Astyanax mexicanus: one gene and its partner. The protein of the gene in region 1 binds, or shares a complex with, the protein of each later gene. Links are inferred from orthologs where the notes say so. Each region holds a gene or a part of one and is shown on either strand. Other genes may lie near its edges. The genes, in order: ccnt1 and cdk9.

The links.
Region 2: the proteins of ccnt1 (region 1) and cdk9 are in contact, whole or in part, in a crystal structure (PDB 3BLH), measured with the Homo sapiens proteins. The link is inferred for Astyanax mexicanus from reciprocal best matches to the Homo sapiens genes CCNT1 and CDK9. Residues at the interface, in NP_001231.2 of Homo sapiens: Arg5, Lys6, Arg11, Trp12, Arg26, Ile72, Gln73, Phe78, Phe89, Leu90, Lys93, Val94, Pro98, Lys99, Lys100, Leu101, Val134, Glu137, Ile139, Leu141, Gln142, Thr143, Gly145, Phe146, Glu147, Leu148, Thr149; in NP_001252.1 of Homo sapiens: Val8, Glu9, Cys10, Pro11, Phe12, Cys13, Lys56, Glu57, Gly58, Phe59, Ile61, Leu64, Ile67, Lys68, Gln71, Leu72, Leu81, Ile82, Glu83, Ile84, Arg86, Ile99.

Annotation. Positions count from the first base shown.
Region 1 is NC_064420.1:1,462,702-1,475,383, reverse strand, and holds the start of ccnt1 (cyclin-T1), read left to right. Parts: upstream 1-7,747; 5' UTR 7,748-7,915; coding exon 7,916-8,085; intron 8,086-9,791; coding exon 9,792-9,873; intron 9,874-10,067; coding exon 10,068-10,196; intron 10,197-12,089; coding exon 12,090-12,150; intron 12,151-12,682. Other genes in the region: DNA mismatch repair protein Mlh3, read right to left, coding at 1-18, 647-725, 900-1,004, 1,180-1,256, 1,351-1,452, 2,445-5,028. UniProt on the Homo sapiens protein: Regulatory subunit of the cyclin-dependent kinase pair (CDK9/cyclin-T1) complex, also called positive transcription elongation factor B (P-TEFb), which facilitates the transition from abortive to productive elongation by phosphorylating the CTD (C-terminal domain) of the large subunit of RNA polymerase II (RNA Pol II).
Region 2 is NC_064424.1:25,619,680-25,631,537, forward strand, and holds the start of cdk9 (cyclin-dependent kinase 9), read right to left. Parts: upstream 5,837-11,858; 5' UTR 5,752-5,836; coding exon 5,711-5,751; intron 5,550-5,710; coding exon 5,436-5,549; intron 3,574-5,435; coding exon 3,492-3,573; intron 3,342-3,491; coding exon 3,251-3,341; intron 2,815-3,250; coding exon 2,648-2,814; intron 2,526-2,647; coding exon 2,354-2,525; intron 1,364-2,353; coding exon 1,215-1,363; intron 532-1,214; coding exon 166-531; 3' UTR 1-165. UniProt on the Homo sapiens protein: Protein kinase involved in the regulation of transcription.

The DNA of each region.
Region 1 (12,682 bases):
GCAGCACCAGCAGGTTTCCTGCAAAAGTACACACACAAATATACATACTGACAATTTTCACAAAAACACACTGATTTTTTTAATAGTTTAAGAATTCCATCCAAACTGTGGATCAATTGTGCAATATTATACAGTTATTACAGTAACCATGCTACATAAATCCTATATAAGTGATTTATTAGGCACATAATGATGCATCATAGTGATAAGATGGGGCTACATAGGGCTAGCCTGCATAAAATTACACAGGAAAAACATAAAAAAAACTGTATCTAATCTGCTTTAATTGATCGAATGCACAAAAAAACTGTATCTATTCTGTTGGAATTGATCAATGCAAATGAAATCTGTTTCTAATCTGTTTTATTTAATCAATGCTTGTAAAAACAATGTACACGAAAACTGTATCTAAATTGTTTTAATTGATCGATGCACATGAAAACTGTATCTAATCTGGTTTAATTCATCAATGCACATAAAAACTGTATCTAATCTGGTTTAATTCATTAATGCACATGAGAACTGTATCTAGTTTGTTTTAATTGATCAATGCACAAGAAAACTGTCAAATCTGATGTGTGATTCAGAACTATATATAAAAGTGACTCAGGTCTGTGAATATATATGTGTGAAAACATATTTTTACCTTGACTCGTCTCTGTGCTCTCCTGGTCTGTTGTGTTTATAAGACAGGCGAGGAATTTCTTGTCTACTTGATGAATAACCTGCAGTAATAATAAAGATTTGGGTTCAGATCAGTTCACTCTTTTCTGTTTCAGTATTGGAAACCGAACCATATTTCTGATCAGTATTTCTTATTTGAGATGCTTTGTAAATATTTGCTTTGTGAATATGGGCCCACATAATTCATTTGAAAAATCATTTAAAGCTGTACTTGCCTTCATAGAGTGGATCATATTCTTAGTGAAGCGATAGGGAAAAAGGATGTTATGGATTTTCACAGCCAGGCCTTCTCCCTGTACACTGGTCACGTCAACAGCCACCTATAAAATAATTTTAGAAAATTAGATAAAGCCTATTTTTTGCATGTGTTTTCTGCATCAGTTAAATACAGTTAAGTACTTCTAAATAAAGGCAGGTTAAACATATCTGAATAAAACTTGTATTTGCAACTGAAATATCCCTATAATTATAATTCTATAACTATTTTTTACTCACTTGAGGGGGTCGTACGAACACTGGGTTATTCCACTCCGAGAAGAGAGCAGAAAGTGAACCAGGACCCTGGAGCTCATCTTGAAAAGAACGAGAGAAGCACAGTCAATAGTATAAGCAGAATAATGAGAGTGTGAGGATGTTAAACCTGCTCTGACTGGTGACATGCATTACCTCTGCAGCCTACGCTGGAAGCTAAGGCTCTTATTGCGCTGGGTTTGGGGAGAAAGGGCAGTACAATATCTGTCTGAAACGGGTAGCACCTGTACTCAAACCCTACAGACAAAAAAACACTGATTAAAACCTCAGTTTTCTAAATGTGGAATTCTCCAGTATTGATGCCTTAATTGACTTAATTGGCTGAAATGATCTGGCTTAAAGACTTGTCTTTTGCTAATGTTTATTAGGGCTGTACGATTAGTCGATATAATCGACAATGTTGATTATTTAAATTTGTCGACTAAAAATTTCATTGTCGACTAATCGTTAATTTGTAAAAGTACCGCATTACAAAAAGTGCTGGGGACAGAAGCGCAAAGGGGGATAAATGAGGGTAAATGGCTCAAACTCACACAGTTTACACTCAATTTAGTCTGTGTCTCCAAAAGTGCCCAAACGCAAATTTAAACAAAATCTACACATTTAAATGCCTTTAAAACCTCATGATCAGCTGTTTCTATTGTTTTTAGAGATTGAGGACAATACCTTTTTAGAATGCATTTTCTTTTTACCTAAAACAGAAAATACATATTTAAATAAATCTAAATAACATCCTGCTTAAACAGTGAAGAAAATATTCTTTTTAACACTTTTAATACAAAGCCTAGAATATTAACTTGTAGGCTCAGGTTCCAGTGTTAAATCCCCTGGGGAGTTTTTATTCTAAATTGGCTTAACTTCTTATTAAAATCTTTAAAAAAAATCAAATAAATACCTGCTGTATTTTATTATTATCACTCTTCTCTGGATGTACAGTAGAAAGAGTTGGTCTAAGTTGACATCAGCAGAACCCTGACCAATCACAAGGCTAATTCTATAACTCCGCCCGCACTTCGAGTCTGAGCAACCGGAACTGTGATGCTGACGTACTGTCGCTTAGCAACCATCTTAGTGCGCTAACTAGCAAGCTATCCAAATATTTACCAAGTAATCTGTCTCATCTGTCTTTATCTTATTTTGTCTTAATGTTAAGAAGCAACTGTTCGCCAGTGATAAAACAGCTCTCAATCACACAGTTCTCAGAAACATTTAAAGTGCAATAGTCCTACCTGTTTTAGAAACAACGCTGACCGCCATATTGGTGACATCTTTGGAGCAGGGTACGGGATTCTCCTCCAGTGATGGAGCTTCGTATGTACTGAGTCCGGTCACCTGATTGATGTAGACCAACTTTCCCAGAGAGTCGTCGTAATGTGTCCTCCAGTCACTCGACACCGGGGCCGGCACATCACTTTCATCGCCCGGACTTTCGTCTGGAGCCTGGACCTCATTTCCTGTTTGGGTGGGCAGAGGCTCATGTTGTGATGCAGGGTTAATTACGTGTCCTGAGGGAATAGCTGGCTCTGAGGAAGTCATAAGTTCAGAAACTCTTTTTAGAGCGTCTCCAGCTGATGGGTTAGGTAAATTGGGAACAGTGAATTTGTGGGTGGGTTCATTTGGATCATTTGTCTCAGTCATTTGTTTTGAAGAACCGTCAGTGTCCTCTGAAGTTTTAAACTGAGACAGAGAGTCTTCAAACGTCTCCTCAGAGTCTGCTGCACGTTGAGCATGTTGGGTTACAGAGGTAGTTTCTTCATTTCTGGTATCATCAAAGGTTCCTTCTTCATAAGGTGTTTTCTCCTTCTGAACTATCTTGTCGCATTTTAAGTGCGAGAGCTTTGCAGCTAATGATATTTTAGTCCTTGAGCTGGCTGATGTTGAACATTTCGTTTGGCTGTAAGCAGAAAGTGTAAGCATACTGTCTTTTTTGATTAAGAAGTTCTCAGAATGAGTCTTTTCAGTCTTTTCGACTTGTTCAGGCTCAAAGATGAGTGAACTGACGCCGGTACCTTGTAAAGCAGGCAATGCAGGACCTTCAGAAGATAATACACAGTCTGAAGGTTGTAAAGCATTAGCGATTTGTGTTTCCACAGACTGACGTTCGGAAGATTTTCCGTACATCCTCTTGAACTTGTCAAGAGATCCCGTTTCAAAAGCCAGTGTTAATTTGCGACGTGGCGCGACCTTTGCCATTTTGGGCCCAACGCCACTTTCTAAGCACAAACTCTGAGTTTGGAGCAAGGACAGTTTTCTCTTTGGTGCACAGCAGATGTTAGGCTCTGCAAATCTTCTCAAACTGTCCTGAGCTTCGTTAGGACCAATTACGGCAACCTTGCTTTGCGTAAATTCCTGATGTGTCATTGTACTGTTGTTGCTGAGGGTATCAATAAGTTGCAGGTCATGGACACTCGTTTCAAAGTCTTGCGAATTCCCGTAATCTTCGAGATCTCTCTGCAGCGAAGGTTTTTCAACACTCTGAACTTCTTTACTTTCTGCCTCTGCTTCTGAACCTGCCGCAGACTCTGCATTTGAGGACCCTCTGTCAAAAATTTGGTCGAAACTTAGATTTTGGACACTTTCCGTTTGATCACCTGAGTTAACCTGAGTCATATTTCCGTTTAAGTCACTTTCGCACACTGTCGACTCTTTGTCCCGCGACTGTGCCGTCGCTTTACTGCATGGGCTACTACTGCCTGTTGGGTCGCTAAAAACACTCGCAAAGGTTTGGGCGTCACTCACAGAAAATTCTGAGACCAAGTTTTCCTTTGTGAGAAACGATTTCACGCCTTCCTCGACGCAGAAGAGGACAGCGTCCCAATCTCTGAACTCGATAAGACTCTTTGCCGGCTCCAGGCAAACATCATACTCAGAGTAGGGGCACTTAAGGTTGATGACATAAACGCCGTGTGAATCGGCGCCTCCTCTTTGCTTGGGGCTGGAGGTGACAGCAGAGGCATTGGGACTGTTGTTTTGGTTGCTAGAGCTGCTCAGTTTCCTGAGCAGGCAGTTGAGTAGTTTGTGAAGGCGTGTTTTCAGCACGAGTCTGCTGTTTACGAACAAAAACTGCAGGCTGTTTTTGTAATGACCCTCGCGCCCAATCGATCCAGTCATCTCAAACTGTCCGTGAGTGAAGTTCACCTCTCTGAGCTTCTGAGCTCTTCCCAATCCATGGATCTGAACAAACCTGTAGTAGGTATTCCTGGCTTTGGGAAGCTGCACCAGCATGGTCCCCGAGCAGTCCTTCTTCACAGTGAACGATACGGACGGATGCATCAGGGATATGGCCTCCACTCTCTGCCGAAGACGCTCAACCTCCAGCACAGAGTCCATCCTCTTCCTCCTGACCGGCATGTTATGAAAGAAGTTGCAGATCAGCACCGTAGTCCCGGGTGACGGACGGGTATCCTGCACCTCGCAAACGCCTGACCCCCTGCCTTCATTAAAGGTTTTAACGAACGTTTTCACCGACGCCTTGGTCTGTGAGGATATTTCCACCAAGGTAGAAAGAGAGGCGATGCTGGCAATGGCCTCCCCTCTGAACCCATAGAATCTCAGGTCATCCAGGTCCTCCAGCGAGCTGCACTTGCTGGTGCAGTACCTCGTCCCCACCTTCTCCATGTCCTCTCGGCTCATCCCGGAGCCGTTGTCTATCACCTGAACTTTGCAGGCTTCGATGTCGATCTTCACAGCGATGCATGTCGCTCCAGCATCAATGCTGTTCAGAACAAGCTCCTCCACACACTGCTGCAGGGAGAAAACAGCGACGCCAGAACGCAGCTTCGCTTGAACTTCTTTGGAAAGAGTCCTGATCATTCTAAAAAAAAAAACACACACACACAAGAGAAACTGTGAACTATTAGAAATCTGCGAAACATAAGAGTGACCATAGTCCATGTATTTTTCATACCGGACATGTGCTCTTTTGAAATCTGCAATATACATAAATATATATGTAAATAAACACAAACTAGATACAGCTAAAAAACAAATCTGCAGGTGGAGCAGTCTAGTCTGCCTGATTACTGTTGCCACTTTTGAAGCTCCACAGTTGGCTGACATGATGATCCACCAACCACAATTATTTCCTTAAGGGATTTTTTTTTAACTATATATCGTCTATAGACATTATTGTGACATTAAATGCAACTGACATAATGATAACAGAATAACAAAGCATTACAAAGGTGCTAGCCTAGAGCGTTCAAATCAATAATTAAATTGACCACAGTAGATTAACTATATTACATTATAGAGCCTGTTAAACTGTTAAACAAGAGGACAGAAGAGTATCCAGTGAAAATGTCATATGAAAATATGTGAAGACCTGAATAAAAATAATAAAACAATTATGGAATAATATAAAACATATCAAATAATTAAATACATATTTTTTATATAAAAAAGTATTACTTATTTACTGGAACATAGCCCTTGCTGTGTCGCCCAATAACAGACGCCCAATAACAGAAGAATGCAACTGAACATTGCGTAAACACCAATATATCTATATGTAGCATTTATTGAATTGATTTTAAGTACACGTACCTTTAAATAACAGCCCCAGATTTAAGGTAAACACAACATATTGGGTTAAAAAGGAGAAATCTCCCAATTTACAGTTTAAAAGCGCCCCGCTTCTTCCCTCAGACAGCTGTAACAGCGCCCTGTTTACTGGGTTATCTTTAGGAACCACAAAAACAACGTTTTAGATGAATAAATATGTTATAAATTACAGTAAATCCAAAATAAGCGCTCGAGTTTCCCCCCATAACAACCCGCCGGTTCACCGGCTCTGTTATGATCTACAATCAGAAAGTCTCTATAGAGGAGAAGACCCACTTTACCGTGTTAACCGTACCACCGTACCGCCAGGGGGCGCTCCCGAGTGAGTCAAAAATAAATATATTTATATAGAGTAATTGAACAAAATCAAAAATTATTAATGTTTGAGAATTTTTATACTGAAACATGTACTCGGTACATTCTACAGCTTTAAAGCTCAATTACTTCATATAAATGGATTAATTTACTGAAAAAATGTACTCAGTTTCCCAACACAAACAGCTCGATTTCGCAACACAGTACATTATACAATATTTTAGAATAGCTAATATAATTATTAAACATTTTAAATTCCAGTTATATTTCTTGTCTTTTAAACTCAATTCTGAGTGGATTCATATGGAGTAATTCGGCAAAATCTGAGATTATAAATGTTTAAGTTTTTTTTTTACTTTTCTAAACACAACACAATATTAAATGTTTTAGTACTGTATAAATACATTTTATAGCTTTAAATATACAGTTATAAATCTTTTAAACTCGGTGTTCTTGCTGTAACTTCAGCATCAGTTCACTAACCAATCCTTTAGCGCACAATAGCAGTAATGCTAGCGTGTCTGTTGTCCAAAAATCGTTTACTGTAGAAAAAAGGTCGAAATAAACATTAGTTATCTTTGTGTTTTTAGTGTATTAATTCAATGTAATATCTAAAATGAAATGAATATTCTGAAGAAGGAGATAATTACTGTGTTTAATTTGTGTTTTTAGCCGTTTAGCTCTATTCACCCTCATTTATTAAACACTCTCTCGCGGGCTCCCTCTAGCGGCTCGCGGTAGTTTTGTGTTTTAACGGTGAGGTAATAAGTGACCAGTCTCTCCATTAAACCAGCTCTGCTACAACGGACGCAGCAAAGTTACGACATCCGACCAGTGAACGAATCACTCGATTGAACGGATTCATTCACTGAACCGCTATTACTGATTCACAAGTCGGTTCAAATTAACTGAATCGATTCTATATGATGTATTAAATCAAGGGAACGATTTATGGAACTGTTAGTTTTTCTATTGATCCTTTAATTTTTTTTTATGTTAATATTAAATATAGGTAAAGTTTAATACAAAGCATTCATATATAGTAAAATAATACTATACTATATAATGTTGAATTAACTTTGAATCAACACTAAATAACAATGATATATTTTTTGTGTTTCCTGAAAAACTTTAGAAAATGAGTTACGATTTTATTTAGAAATTATTTTAGGGAATATTTTTGTCAGTATTTAATGAAGGAAAAGTTGAATATAAAAGCATATATATGCAATAAAACCATAACATTTAACAAATGTTGGATCAACGTTCCATAGCTATGATATGTTTTTTGCTTTTCCTAAAAAACCTGAAAGTAGAGAGAAGAAAGTATTTTGAGGTAAAATTTGATACAAAGCATACATATATGATGAAATCATAATGTTAAATCAACGTTAAATCAACACTGCATAGTGACAATATTTTTATGTTTCCTGAAAAAATAAGTTAGACGCTTAATTTAAAAAATATTTAGCCTACATTTACAATAAAACCATAACGTTAAATCAACGTTGAATCAATACTGAACAGCGACAATATTTTTTTTGTTTGTGTTTACTGAATGTTTAACGTTTAATTAACGTTTAATCAACGTTAAATCAACGTAAAATCGCAAAAATGAATCAACTCAATGCGATGGCGATGAAACACTGAACGTTGATTCGACGTTCGTGCCGAGTCAGTTCAGTGCTTCGTGACTGAATCGGTTCGTTGGAACCGATTCGATACTGCTCGCCCCAGCCTGCGAGTCTGATGACGTCGGTGCGACGCCGACGCAGTTCCTATGACGAACCACGATTTTTAAAAAATATTGCCCTTCTCAGCAATGGCGGCTTCGTTCGTGTCTCCTCTGGAGGAAGAGAGTAGATGGTATTTTACCCGCGAACAGATCGAAAACAGCCCGTCCCGACGGGCAGGACTCGACCCCGACAAAGAGCTGTCTTACCGGCAGCAGGCGGCCAACTTCATCCAGGACATGGGGCAGCGGCTCAACCTGTATCCTTTACACCGGAGCTTTTTCCGCGCACTGGCTGCAGCTCGGGGCCGGTAAGGAGAGGGTACACCGGCTGCTGGCTCCGGCGGACCAGTGCTTCGTTCAGTAAGGAGTTAAAACGACGTTAAATCACGCTTTGAACGCCGTTTGAGGCTGAACCAGGCTGTCGTGAGTGAACCGGCGACGCTAGCTAACTAGCTTTAGCCGCCTGCAGGCTGAGACTTCTGGGATGTGTAGGCCTCGGCTGGATCTGGCTAATCCAGGTCCGGAGTGTAAAAATCCGTTCCTGGATTTCGCTGCGAGCGCCTGGGCGGCTCAGCTGCAGCCGAGCCGCCCTGGCACTCGCTGCGAAATCCAGGAACGGATTTTTAAATTCCGGACCTGGATTAGCCAGCTCCTTATAAAGAACAATAGCAGAGCTGCTGCTAAGCTAACTAATATATTGACTAAATAATCGGCATTAGAGCGTTTTAATATCCCTAAATCTAGACTTAAGAAGCTTTTCTCTTAGACAGTTAGCGACTTTTCGTTAAATATATAGGTAAAAGAGCGATTTTACTTCAGAGTTGTTCTTGTTGTTAGCTTGGTAGCTAGCTAACGTTAGCTAGCGGCTAAGACACTACAGCTATCTAGTTAGCTTGTTTTCTGCTTGTTTTGTCTATTTTAAAGCGATTTAGAAATCATTTTGTAGGTTTTTAACCTAAGTTTGCTAGCCTATTTAGATAAACAAAGGCCATACGTTGTGTTTTAATGCAGGCTTTTAGGTATCTACGCAAACCTAAGCTAAGATAGCTTTAGCTAGTTATGCAGGCAGGCGAGTTTCAGTTTCGCTATTATGCAGAGGCAAATCTTTGTTTTTAGCCATTTAGTTAGCTAGCTTTATGTTAGATATTTTTATTTTGTTCTCTTATGTGATTGTAATAAGCTAAAACATGGTGTTTTATCCTATTTTGTGATGTTTATATCATTACATTTCAGGTATCTGGGATATATTTTGTTTATGAAGCCACTAGCAATATTTAATTAGTCAAATCAAGAGGCTTTTAGTGTCATTAACGCTACATCTGAGTTCAGGTACACAGTGTAATGAAATGATGTACCTCCGGAATCATGGTGCAACATGGAACAACAAAACAATAGGAGTTCAGTTCAGTTCTGCGTGAGTGTGTTGGGTGTATGGTGGATGAAAGGGTTCAGCTCTGTCTCTGAGTGTTGAGGAGACTGAGTGCCTGGTGGAAGAAGCTGTTGCAGAGTCTGGTAGTGGAGGCTCGAATGCCCCTGTATCTTCACGGCATCAGAGCGAAGAGTCTGTGTGAGGGATGGTGGTGGCTTTGCGGATGCAGCGTGTGGTGTAGATGTCTGTGGTGGAGGAGAGGGATTTTGATACTCTTCTCGGCCAGCCTTTTTGCTAATCAGGTGCTTGAGGAAAGTTCATTTCACAAATTTAAGATGTTAAATGGCTGAACTTAGGAAAAGTGAAAACAACTTCATGCTGCTACGTTCTGAATAAGTTGCAGGAGTCTGATGGCTTGCAAAGAAAGACCAGCCAGTTGTCATTTCTTAAATTTCGGAGACTGCACAAGCACTTGGGTGGCATCCCTAGTGAGAAACAGTTTAATTAACAGACAGCGGTACAGGTACATGTTTATATTGGTGCGGTATTTTGATTGTTCCTAGAAAGATATGGTCCTTAACCTTAGATTAACAGGTCCCAACTGTCAATCAACACTGGCATCGTCTACATGCATCGTTTCTACATGGTCCAGTCCTTCACACTCTTTCATCGTAATGTAAGTGTTCTGCTTAGAGCTTGTATTTTGAGGCATGTGTAGAAAAAGTATGTTTAATTTATTTATTTAGAATATTTAAACATGTATTTCAATTCTAATGCTTAAACACTATGAAAATATGAAAAGCCAATTGCTCTTTTAAAAGGTAGTAATTCTATTTTAATTATTTTGTTGTCTGCCATGTGCTGTTGCAGGTGATCGCTCCAGCTGCACTCTTTTTAGCATCCAAGGTGGAGGAACAGCCTCGTAAGTTGGAACATGTAATCAGGGTGGCCCATGCATGTTTAAATCCTCAGGACCCTACTCTGGACAGTAGGAGTGACGTAAGTATTATATTTCTAATAGACAGTATGTTTGTGCAGCATGGATGAATGTGTGTCTGAGCTATCTTTAAGAGCTTTGTAAATGAGGCCCAAGTAACTGTGATAAGTTGTCACACGTAAAAGCCACTCTGAAAGAAAGCAGTCATTTTATTTTTTGGTGTCAGAAGTCTTGTTTGCATCTGGTATTAGCATATATATATATATATATATATATATATATATATATATATATATATATATATATATATATATATATATATATATATATTTAGAGTGAACAGATAACAAGAGTCAGTGAGACTTTGTTACAAGACAAGACCACCATGGAATTTGGCCATCGCTTTTAATTCATCCATACAGTGAACACACACATATACAATCGTGAGTACACTCAGTAGACACAGTGATATTGTGAGAACAAATGCACAGAAAGGTGGACGGTCTTTGCTGTAGTGTTGTGGGCGGTAACACAAGGCTCGACAGACCAATCACAGCAGCTGCAGTCTGCGTTGTGCAGTTATATTTCTGAGCTTGCCCACCTCGGGTATTGAACCCACAACCTTGTATTTGATGGCTAAACCCAAGGTTGCTTAATAACATTAGTATTTACACTAAACAGTCACAGATACACAGACATACCAGCAGAAGAAGAAACACAAGCAGAAGGCTCATCTGTCTCTCAGGCTGTAGATTTGCCTTTAATGTGCCGATTTTCTCTATTAGACAGAAGATTCTGTCCTTGCTGAACACTGCTTGTGATCCAGTCACTCATATTTTCATGGTAATACTTGATGTAAACAGGACAAAAATTGTGATAGTCTCAGGTTGTTTGTTGAAAGATGTTTAAGACCCATTCTTTCTAGTCTAAAGTCTGTCCAATTATTCATAAATTTGCTCAAATTTCTTCAATTATTCTTCAATCCTCCACACCCTTGTCTTTATTGATAGCTTCAATTAATCATAACTGTAGACCGGAATTAAAAATGTTCTAATGTGAAGCAGCCACTCTTGCACAGCCCTCTTTTCATCCCTCTTATTATTACTATTTTTTTTTTCTTCAAACAGGGTGTGGAACATTTTTCATATTCTTCACAGCAATTGGCTGTTAATGCTTCAGCAAACCTTTGCCGCTTCTCAGACCCCGCCATTGGCTAAGCGTGCTAATTCTTTCAGTGCGAGATTAACTCATGACTTTTCTTCCTTTCAGGGTGGATGATTTGTGTGCCTAACACTTCAGTCTGATCACTCCTGTATGTCTGATTTAGTGTGCTTTAATTGACTGTTGATGGAAGTGATTGAACTGAGGTGTTTTATTGTGAAGTATTGATTACCGTAATTTTCGGACTTAGTAAGGATTCCTATATTGAAGTGAGCAAGGGTGTTGCCATGTTTCCAAAATTTTGTCTAAGCGCGAGTTTTCAGTGAAGTTTCTCCAGCATTAAGGCTAGGTGCAGCAGCATTAGCATTAGCTGCTAAACGCAATGCTAGTGGGATGTGAATTTTACCCGAACGCGCTAGATTGAGGAACCCTGAGCTTTCCGGTAACCCAGGGCACTATCAGATAGCGGTTTGTTCCATGTAGCTAATTATAAAAAAGCCTCCCGCCTTAGTGCTGGAGAAACTTTACTGACAGCTCACCCTTATAACTCTGTACTTCAGCGGAGTGGCTTTGCTGCTTCTTTCCTAATACCTGACTGTTTAAATCAGTACATAAGGAGCACCGGATTAGAAGGTGCACTGTCAATTTTTGAGGGAATTAAAATATTTTAAGTGTGCCTTATAGTCCGAAAAATACGGTAACTAGAAACAGTTGTAGTGAGCGAGAGAAAGAGAGAGAATATGACGTGAGAGCGTGCGAGCCTGTGAGTAACCTGCCTGTCCTCTCGATCTCAGACGTACGTGCAACAATCCCAAGACCTGGTCGCTCTTGAGAGCATAATACTCCAGACCCTCGGTAAGTTTGGAACGGAGGAAGTGGGTCTATGAGTGACTTTAGAGAGAAGCACTGTGTTTAACCCTGTTTGTTCCCGTCCACAGCACAGTCCCGGGAGTCGGCCATCAGCCAGAGCATTACAAAGAAAGCTCCTTGTAACTCAGCCACTGTTGCTACTGTCTCACCTTTTTTCAGTTCTTTCTTGTTTCCATGTCAACCTGGCAGTGCTTTCCCTTTTTTTCATACCTTTTTAGAGAATTTCTGAGCCATTCTTTACACAAATGCAGATTGGCACAGAGAAAAATTGATTTGTTGGTCATCCTTTTTGTTTATTATATTTTATTATATTAACTGTAAGAGTGGCTCAAAACATTTTGCAAAGAAAGGCATTTCCCTTTTTAACTCCAAAAATATATATATATTTGTCCTGTCTAGGATCATTCGTCTGAAGAAACAGAACAGAGCACTTCGTTACAATCAGTAAAGCTAAATGGCTACAGCACAGTCCTAATTGGGCTGTGAAAAGTACAGAGACGACACAAACGGCCATGAA
Region 2 (11,858 bases), on another chromosome or scaffold:
TGAAAAAAGATTAATAACCCACATAAATAAACGAAACATGTAAATATCACATGTCTAAAACGCAACTGGCCCAGGCGGAACGTGATGACACGCTCTCAGGGTCGATCAGAAGTCTCTATCTTCTCCTCGACCAATCAGTCTGTTAGCAGTCTGTAAGCAGCCACATTAGAATACCCTGTCGAACTCCGACTGGCTGGTGGTGGCTGGGTTTCTGTTCTGATTGGCTGGCTGTTGAGGCATGTGACCCCGTCGCCTGGGCGGGGCCAGGTACTCGAACATGGAGGTGTTGTGTGTGGACAGCATGTTCTTGAGGTCTGAGGGCATGGGGTCGGACCAGAAGAAGTCATGATTGAGAGCGTCGTCACTGTCGATCCTCTGCGCCGGGTCCAGAACCAGAAGTTTATCAATGAGGTCCAGAGCATACGGGTCTTTAACGTACGCCTTTAGTCTGTCCTTCACCTTCCGCTTCTGACCCTTCGGCAGCTCCATCTTCTGATACAGCTCGTACTTCTTGTCCACGCCTGGCCACACCTGAGAAAACCAAGGGAAAATTAACATTTTAGTTCTCAAGGCAAAATAACAGAAAAGGGATCATTATAAAAAAATTGTAAAAATGGATGTGTACACAGTTTCTAGACAACAAAAATAGTAAGTGGTGCTTAAGAAAATGTGGTAAGCACATTTTTAAAAGTATACCATGGTTCATCAAGACTTTAATTATACTAAATATTACTTAAAATAATATTAATTTCATTGAAGGTGGACTTTACAGAGAATAATATTCTACTTTTGAACTTTTTGAATCAACCAAAAGATAACTTCTAAGCAACTGAAGGCCTCTTTCTTGGATTGGCGCATGTTACATGTTAATTCCAACATCAGGAAAATTATTTTAGGAATAGTTTAATATTCTGTTTCTCATTTGTTTAATTGGTGTCTGTTTATCTACATTTAAATCTACTTTTAATATACAAGTGAAAACCAAATAAGGCACATTAATGTAGAATATAGAACATTTTAAAGGGTACACAATGGTAAGCACCATTGTACTGCAGATGTCATACCCAATAATATGAAAATGACCCAATAATACAGCATATTCTATTTTTCTGGGAAAATCCATAGTATGTGCAGTGATGCATAAAGTATATAAAAGTACATTTGTTATAACACTGTTCAAACTGAAGTGCAGCAAAAGTGAATAGGCTTGTTACCTCTGCAGTAATGGAGCCACACAGTTGGCTTATTAGTGTTAGCTGGTGCTGTTCAGTGTTGCCTTGCATGATGGGGCTCCTGGTCCACATCTCAGCCATGATACACCCACCACCCCACAGATCAATAGGAGGTCCGTAATCACGTTCCCCTGTACACGTGCACAAACAAACACAATCAATAGGAAATAGTTCACACAGTAACGTATTACCATAAAACAAATACCATGAAAGAGGGAAAAAATGTTTTTACAAAGGAACATGACTCAGCTTTGAAAGCAGATTCAGTCAATCACCCTAGACATTGACTAAGATTAACGTACAATTAATCTGGAAAATTTAATAAGCGCACCCACAGTGATACTTACGTTTAAGTATACATTGTTAAAAGTTCCGTTAAGTTGGAAAAATGTGGTCAATCATAAATAATCAGCAACTTGTGTGATTTGATTTATTTTTTTTTTATCAATCTATTGCCCTAGTGCCTTGTTAATTTACATTTCATTAAATTGTATAGTTTAACTTGTTTATGTAAAGGTGCAGCTCAAAAATGTAAATATTATTTTACTTTACTTTATTTTAGTAATTTAATTCAAATTGTGAATTATATAGATGTATTACACAGAGAGTAATTTTGATCTATTTTAAGAATTTATTTATTTTATTGTTGATGATTATGGCTTACGACTAATGAAAACCCAAACAGAAAATTACAATATTACATAAGATTAATTGGTACTTTTGGCAGTGTGGGCAGTGTGCCAAGTCCGCATCACTATAAAAGTTGTCAGCAAAGGGAAGCATGATGTGCTGTAAGATTTTCCAGGAAAACACTTAACTAAATTTGGACTTGATGCTATTTGGACTTTGGACAGTAGTTTCAAATTTTGAACTGAATTACTGAATAAAGTAATTTTTCAATTATATTCTAAATTTTTTCGATGCACCTGTAGGTTTCACACATTTTAAAGCAAATAAAAATGTTGGCTTTGTATTATTTAGTAGGAATTAGACTGATGACAGTTCATGGCTGTAAAGAGTGTGCTACAGAATTAGCTACTGGGAACCTTAAAACCCTTTAGTTCCTCACACTTTCATATTAGTTACTGAATAATTCACTGAATAATACACCTTAATCTTACCCAGCAGTAGCTCAGGGGGTCTATACCACAGGGTGACCACTCTGTTGGTGTACCGGTTTCCCTGGCTGTTCTTCGCCAGACTGAATGCCCGGGCTAGTCCAAAATCAGCCAGTTTTAGAATGCCGTCCCTCGTAATCAGAACGTTCGCTGCCTTCATATCTCTGTGCAAGATCTGATCAGGCAGACAAATAAAACATGGTTAAAACCAAACAACTAATCAACTGTGACACATATAAAGTATAAAATGTTTGTAAAATTTTGTAAAAGGATCATGGTCGTGTACACTGTACGCACCTTGTTTCTGTGGATGTAGTAAAGACCATTCAGGAGCATCTGCATGACCTTCTTGATCTCAGCCAGGGTGAACTTAACGTTAGCGTTGCTGAGTAAGCCGGCCAGATCGTGCTCACAGAAATCAAACACAAGGTAGATGCTGCCCTTATACCGGTTAAACTGTGTGGCTAAAAGACAGACAAAAAAACAGAAAGATTTAACAGAGGCCAGTTAGAGTTTAATAAGCTTTAGGTCAAAGAAAACACAGCAGTCCATGGAGCTGCACCACCAATGATCTTAGCGGTACTACTAGAAATTTCTAGTTAGCCTATGGTTACAATAACACTTCACTTAAAAGTTATTTGCCAGTGCAAAATACAGTGCAACAGTGCAGCATACCACTGCTGTCCAAACATGTATATCCATAACTGTCTTTTTTTTTGGTCACAGCAGTTGTCCTTCACAGCATGTCCTAATTTCATAATTAATAGATCAATGAAAATGCTCCAAATTGAGTTTTTACATCAACTTCTATTAAAACTTCAAACATTTTTCTTGCTTCAGATTCTTTAAACAGCAACATTAACAAAATCTGCAAGATTAATTAAATTTGTGCCTACTTACCTTTGGTTCTGCAGATCTCAATGAGGTTCACAACGTTCTCGTGCTTCAACAGCTGCAGAATCTTGATTTCCCTCAGAGCTGTGATGGGAAACTGTAAGAAGTAGTAAATTAGAATAAAATCCAGAATAAAACAATAACTCCAACAAAAAAATGAGCTCAAGTATAATATCTTAAATAAACTTCCAGAGGAACAAGCCCAATCTTGTAAATGTTAACATAAAGCTAAGCTCTCTATACGTACCCCTTCTTTCTCGTTCTCCATGAGCACCTTTTTCAGAGCCACCTTCTTTCCAGTCTGTCGGTGTTTGGCTTTAAACACCTCCCTACAGAGAAGGACCAACAAAGAGAACAGGTGAAAGAGGGTCGGAGCTTTCAGAACATGTTGTACCACAGTGTTCTCCAACCCAACTCTGACTCCAACCAGACAAGCAGACTAACATATGCACAGGACCGTGACCCCAGAAAAGAACACAGTGGGTAAATTAATGGTTATTTTGCAGTGTTTTTTTTTTTGTACTCACAAAATCAATAAAAGGAGTTCTGTTTTACACTAGCTACTTAGCAAGTAACTATCAAGATTGGTACACCATGCTATTGTCAGGTTTCATCATATACTAATAATTTTATTTGCTCATCTAATGTGCTTAGGGATTGCATAAAATATATTTATAAATATCTATTTATTTATTGACTATGGGGAATGAGATTTACTGCAGCAAAAGAAGATTGAAACAATGGTAATTGTTCCATTTCTGAAATATAACAGCGTTGATTTGTGCATTTTAGGTGGATTCAACATTAGCAAAACATTATGACTTAAATAACAATACTTTAAAAATGGGCATTATGTAATGACTAGTTAGCTAAAAAAAAGTGAAAGAAAAAAGAAAATGCAAGGCAAATAAATGTTACATTTGTTTATACAGCTCTGGAAAAAATTATAAAACTTCAGTTTCTGAATCCGTTTCTTGGATTTTGCTATTTATAGGTATATTTGTTTGAGTAAAATGAACATTGTTGTTTTATTATATAAACTATGGACAACATTTCTCCCAAATTCCAAATAACAATAATGTCACTTAGAGCCTTTACTTGCAGAAAATGAGAAATGGTCAAATATACAAAAAGTTGCAGAGCTTTCAGACCTCAAATAATGCAAAGAAAAGTTCATATTAAAAAGTTTTAAGAGTTTAGAAATCAATATTTGGTGGTTTAATCACAGTTTTCAAGCATCTTGGCTTGTTCTCCTCCACCAGTCTTACACACTGCTTTTGGATAACTTTTTGCCACTCCTGGTGCAAAAATTAAGCAGTTCAGCTTGGTTTGATGGCTTGTGATTATATGTATATATATATATATATATATATACATATATATATATACACACACACACACACACACACACACGAGTAATTTGGAATGTCGGCATCAGCCCAGAATGTCCACACTTCTGAATCAATCAATTTTTTTTTATAATTATATGAAGGTAACATTTCACCTGAAACCACTGTAAAAGTTTATAAGTCATCAACATTAAAAGATGTAATCCCACCAAATATGAACGTTGAATCAGTGATATTTGGCATCTGGATTCCAGTGTATCCACAACAATAACGTTAACAATAAGTGCGTTGAACGCAGCAGTTTGAGAGCCAATGAAGCTAACTAACGGTTTTGTGATTTTCAGACTACTCTAACGAATAATTAAATAAAAGGAAATAAACATCGCTCCAGGCAGACACTGCTGTGAGGATTACTTAAGTGAGGTCAAGACTTCACCTCACCCGATACTCAGTCAGGAATACTGTCTGGAGCTCCTTCAGGCCGCATCTCAAAACTGGTTTAAACTCCTCCTGCCCTCGTCTGGAAATACCCACGGTACTAACAGCCTATAGGTTTATGTTTATCTACACATACACATACAGTTGAAGTAGCTAAATGTATTTATCAGAAAGGGTTACCACATATTTAAAAAACACAAGATAGACAGATAACCATAGACTATAGTTAGATAACCAGAGAGATAGACACACAGTAGCTACAGTAGCCGCTTGTTCGTTAGCTAGGTTAGCACTGCCTGTGGCTAACAGTCTCAGTCCGCAGATCAGACTTCATACAGCAGGGTTCCTCCTCTAATCTAACACCCACACCCCGAAGAAATAGCGAGCAGAGCCACCCCGCTTACCCGAAGGTTCCCTGTCCGATCTTGGCGAGTTTCTCGTATTTGGAGAACTCGTCACAGAAGGGAAACTCCACTCCGTCGTAGTATTTGGACATGATGGCGGTCTCCCGGTCCGGCCTGAAACACACACACATCACACCCAGAATCAAACCAGTCCTACACACCGAGCCGCGGGAGGAGCGGAGCCGCCCGGCCGCGGGGACTCGCTCCAACACCCGGAAAACATCAACAAACAAAATCAACCCTTTAATATGATAAAATAATGAATAAATCCATACTTATCAGCCCCGCCGGAGCCTCCGCTCTTCTCTCGCTGCATCTTCGCTGCTCTACAGGGGGAAACTCGCTCATTCACAGCAACTTTAACACAGCGCCGCTCACAGGCTGGAGGACTGACTGCACTCACTCTGCAATAAGCATTTATTAACAATGTCTCATGTTCACTTCACTAAAAGAACGATTAATAATCTTATTAATTCAGCTTCAGTTATTGAAATCAATATAAATGGATAACGATAATAGATCATAGAAATGTGGTCAGTGTAGCGTTTATTACTTTTTTACCGTTTAAGGTTAAATGCAAAAATAGAAAACTGGATGTAAAAACTCATGATTTCATTTTTTTTTGTATAGTGTAGTATACAAGAAAAAGGTTTTATAATTTTTTCCAATTTTATTTATTTTATTTTTTTTTTCATCTCTGCCCCTCACAATCGCAACTTCAGAAAAAAATGATTTTTTTTTTCAATTTTTGCATTTTGCAAATTGAATTATTGGAGTTGTGTTACAAGATACAAAAATGGACAAATTTGAAAAGAGTTGAGAGAACATTTAACTTTTAATTTTTCTTGAAATTCTGAAATGAAAAACATGATAATTGAAAAATTGGATAAAAATCCATTTGTTCTTCATTTCTAAATAAGCTTGATACAGTCAGACAATTAAACTGCTAAACGTTACACTGACCATGGATGAAAACTTACTTTTTGTACACTGCACTACATGTAAAAATAAAAATAAAAATAAATAAAATAATTAGTTTTTACATCCAATTTTCTATTTTGGTATTTAACCTCAAAAGGTCCGAAAATAAATTAATAAACGTTACACTGACCAAATGTAACCCTCGAAGCATATGTTTCTTAGTAACTCCAATTCTGATTCTGAGGGGTGTTAAAAAGTCAGGTTACAAGGTTAAGGTAAAACTCTCTTTTATTTTAGACCGAACATCTATGGACAATACTATTAGATTAGACTGCTAACACTCATGTCTCCCTTTCCCTCTGTGTGCGCGTGAGTTAGCTCATCCACCTTAAATGGTACCGTAATCAGATTACGGCGCCCGAGACACTAGCATGTAATAGCAGCAACTGCTGCACAATTTAAGGTGGAATGGATCATTCAGATAAGCAGTAAACTTTATCTAGCTAAGTTTGTCTCTTGTTTACTGTAACCCAGCCTCGCTTTCTTTTAAGAAGTATAACAAGTTAACCCTGCTAAGGCTGCTTAGCACTTCACCCGTGTAACATATATATATATATATATATATATATATATATATATATATATATCAGTCTAAAAGAGCAGAAGATATATATATATTGTAGCGTGGAAGAGGAATAAGGACTCGAGAGATTCATTGCAAGGTCTCAACAGCTCTTTATTAACAGGCTTGCCACTCACTTATAGCCTTTAACAAGGCTAGGAGAGCGAAACCCATCTGCAACCACAGCTCAAACAGCCCTGAGGCCACCAACCCAGCTATCCAACACAAAGATGGTAAGTCCCCTTAACCCACTCAAAACATACCCCCATAATGCCCCGCTGGCCCCGGATTACCATACCCCGCCCCCACAGGCACACTAAAAGCTGGCACACACACACAGACGCCACAATATATATATATATATATATATATATATATATATATATATATATATATATATATATATATATATATATATATATATATACACACACTGTAGGTGATGTAGAACAGTTGAAGAATACAGTATGCAGAGAGTGGATATCTGAGGTAAATTACGATTAGCCAAGACCTGTAGGTAAATTACTAGTTTTCTGCATCTCACCTAATCCTTCCAATCACTTTGTTATAGTCACTGAATGTCCCCCCCCATTTTCTTTTTCAGTGTCTGTTACCTTAAAAGTATATTTTTGGATAATATTAAATATCTGTCTGCTATATCCTAAAGTACTCATTGAACATGCACATTCTAAGAGACAAATGAAACACTCATATCACTAATTGAGTTTTATTTAAAAAATAATCTTTCAGGGGTGTTTCTGCAAAAAAGGAGAGCTACCTTAAGACAGCAGAAATTTTATTGGATATGTACATTAAATGAACATTTAATATAAGTCTGACTATAGCATTTGTTCATACTCCAGTCGTTATATTTTTGGCTTAATCCTTTTTTCTATAGGAGCTTGTACTGTATATCCAGCTTCAGTGTTCTTTTGTCCAATGCTCGTACAGTGTCTGTTCCAACCTATAAAAAGATTTTCATTATTCATTGGTGGGAGATGTATTCAAGAACATACAAACACTGTATTCACCTCAGAGGTCACCCTACTATGCCTACATGTGGAGGGTCCAGTTTGGAAGGAATGCTCTGTATGTTCTGTGTATTCAGTAGGACATAAATACATTAGCTATTTCAATACAAATAACACTGAATTTGTAGTTGACCATTTTACCTCTGAAGGCCTCTCAGAGCACCCAGAGATAGTATCCTCATCATGGTCATCTCCATCATGATCCTGATCAGCAGCAGCATCCTGATTGGTAATCGGGCAAATTGGATTCTTTGAAACATTTACAACAGACCCTTATAAATCACTGGTTGTTTGGACCAGCAATCAACCGTGCCCACATTTTTAAAATTAGTTTAATTAAAATTTTATTTAAAGAATTACTGCACACTTTCTATAAATCCTATAAACTTCATTTTACTTCTTAAACATTACTATGTTCATCTTCTGTATGATATTTAACTGAAATTGCAGATCTGAACCAACAATGATTTATAAAGAAAAATCATAAAACTTTTTAGGGTGCCAAAAATGTTTTTATACCGTTCAGGTCCATTGGAACACATAAGGTTCTCCACCAATGGAAAGGTGGCGATCCATGGAGAACACACACACACACACACACACAAATAAGAGGTCTTCTTCAGATCGCACTTAGTCTGGAACCTTCCCCTCGACCGTACTGCCATGGGTGACCCTACCAGGAACCTAAGTTCCAGACGGCATCGCTCTCAGGTTCAATGGAACACACAAGATTCTCCACCAACGGCAAGGTGGCGATCCATGGAGAACACACATTCACACCCATTCATACACACACACACGCAAATACACATACAGATCCAAAAACATTAAAATACTTAAAGAAACACATTCCTACATCACAAAAACACATGCAGACATGTATACATATGCATACGCACACAAACACACATGCTTACATGCACAGACACAAAAACACACATACACAAATATATACGCACACAAACACACACATGCATATACACACAATTCAAAACACACATACATACCAAACACATTTGTGCACATACATATACACAGAAACACACATAAATACATGCATATACATACAAAAAGACATGCACACCTACACACGCACATACGTATGCAAACACACATACATACGTACACACGTGCACATAAGAGGTCTTCTTCAGATCGCACTTAGTCTGGAACCTCCCCCTCGACAGTACCGCCATGGGTGACTGGGGGAAACAGAGACAGAGACACAGAAATAAAGGGGAACTGTTGTACACCTTTACTGTTGTAGACAATTTACTAATAATTTCATTGCATAATGCTTGTCAAAAATTTACATAATTGTATACGTAATATATTGTAAAATGCTTATCAATATTGCTGTGACTGCAGGAATGATGTCTAAAGTGTTTTGGACTAAATTATACCATGAATTAACATAATTATTATTAAATGAGATACAGTAAATGGGATATACAGGGAAGCTTCTATAGCTGACAGCAGGATTTAGTCCAAACCCTTACCTGTGCAGCTGGCACTGGCTCCAGTTCAGGCTTTGTGTCCTGAAGGTCCAGCCGGTGAGAGGGATCTGCCTCTTCTACCTGCACCAGGACTCGGCGAGGAGACCTGAAACGACACACAAAGGAGCTCCAAAAGTTGGTGACAGGGCGTTTCAGGGATCTGCGCTGTGTGTTATTGTTAGGTGACAGTGCAGTGTCTCCCTGGCTGGATGGCTCCGGATGAGAGGTGGTGGTGAGGTCTGGAGCTGGAGCTTCTTCGCACTGTCAATGACAAAAACAAAACAATAGGAGATTATTATTCCTTTCACACACCTTTCTCACGGCTTCTTATAACAGGTTTCATAATGAATTGTAGATCTTTAATCATTTTAAGATAGTAGAGAGGCAAAGATTATTTAGGATTAACTGCAAACTCTTACCTGTGCAACTGGACCTGGGATATCAGGCTCGGTAGAGTCCAGCCTGTGAGCGGGGGCTGCCACCAGAACACTCCCAACACGCCGCCTGGGACAGGAAAGCTATGGAGGGGAAGATGAAGGTTTTAAAGACACATATTAACAGATATTCAACAGATTTAAGGTGGTATTTGGTTTTGAAAGCAGCTTTATGACTGTGATGCTTCTCTGCATCTTAATTAATTGTTCATTGTGCTTTTCTCACCTTCTCAATGAGGGCCTTCAGCTTCCCCTCGAGGAACTCGAGCTGAACCCTCCTGAGCTCCGTCCAGGGGTCTGGCTCCTCCTGAATACAACTCAGGATTATATACACTGCAATATAAACTAAACACGCTGCATTTTTAGACAAATCAACAATAACAGTCTGGTAGAGACTCACGCAAAAAGGCAGGAGAGTGGTAGAGTCGCGTGCGCAGTGAGACTCCACCTACAAAAAAAATTCCAACCATTTTTAAAACCAATAATCAACATATGTTGACATATACAAGCATTTACAGTGTGTAAAATGTGATTGTGATGTTTATCTGCATCTTAATTAATTATTCATTGTGCTTTACTGACCTTCTCAATGAGGGCCCTCAGCTTCCCCTCGAGGAACTCATGCTGGACCCTCCTGAGCTCCGTCCAGGGGTCTGGACCCTCACCCTGCCACTGCAAACAGGCAGCCCTCAGCTCCTCAGTGCCCTTCAGAAACATGGGGATAAAAACACAATTGAGGATTATATCCACTGCAGTATAAACTAAACAGGCTGCATTTTAAGGCAGATTAAAAATAAGTTTGAAAGAGATTTACACAAAAAGGCAGCAGAATGAAGGGGTCTCCTGGACCACCAGAAGCCCCCTGCAATAGAAATACATGCAATATACTTTACAATCATTTTAAAAAATAGGACATAAAAATATATACACGAATTTACTGTCCCTGCTAATGCTGATATTGTGAGCAGCTCAGTGAACATTTTAGAGCTTATTTGATGATATTTGTGAGCACATATACCACCCTTTATAGCACCCAAGCAAGGAACCCTTTCCAGACTGATACAGTTATTAAATAAAATGCTAATGTTATGCTTACTAGGTTAGGCTAGCTACTCATCACTTCCTCACACTCCGCCTGCAGAACTAACAGCTGCTGTAATTTATGCTGCTCCACCTCTAGTTTTATCTCTTCACTATATATTTGGTGTAAAATTAGATAATTGTTTATTAACCTCCAGGCGATGCTCTTCGCTACGCCAAAACTCCATGTCGGACCGCAGGGTGTCAGTAAACCCTCACCGGCCTCCGACACCTGAAAAACAAACTTATAAGATTAATAACAGACAATACAGACAATATAACAATAATATAATAAGTAAAACACAATACAATTAATAAAACAGTAAATATGAAATAATAAAAGGGTTTGCTCTCGAAAAATCGCTGAATCTCCTCCGGGAAAACCTGCTGCTGCTGCTGCTGGTCTAGAGTTTACGAACTCTGTAAACAAAACAAGCAATCTTCACTGAACGCTGTCGCGCGCCGCGTCACTTCTGTAGCCATAGAAACGCGTATTTTATATATTTATTTTTAAATGCCATGAGTGTCTGACTGTAAAATATTTATATTTATAGCACAGTTATTAATACAGTTTTCTCTATTATTGCGCAATTAGATGTTGTGGCGAACCCTGGTGGCAAAGAACATTAAATTAATTCTAATTTTTAAACGTGTCTGACTGTAAAAGATTAATATTTATAACATCGTTATTAGTACATTATCTTAATTATAGTGCGATTATATGTTGTGGTGAACCCTGAAGGCAAAAAACATTAAATTACGCAGAATTTTACTTGCATTACAAGTATATTAATAATAATAATAATAATAATAATAATAATAATAATAATAATAATAAT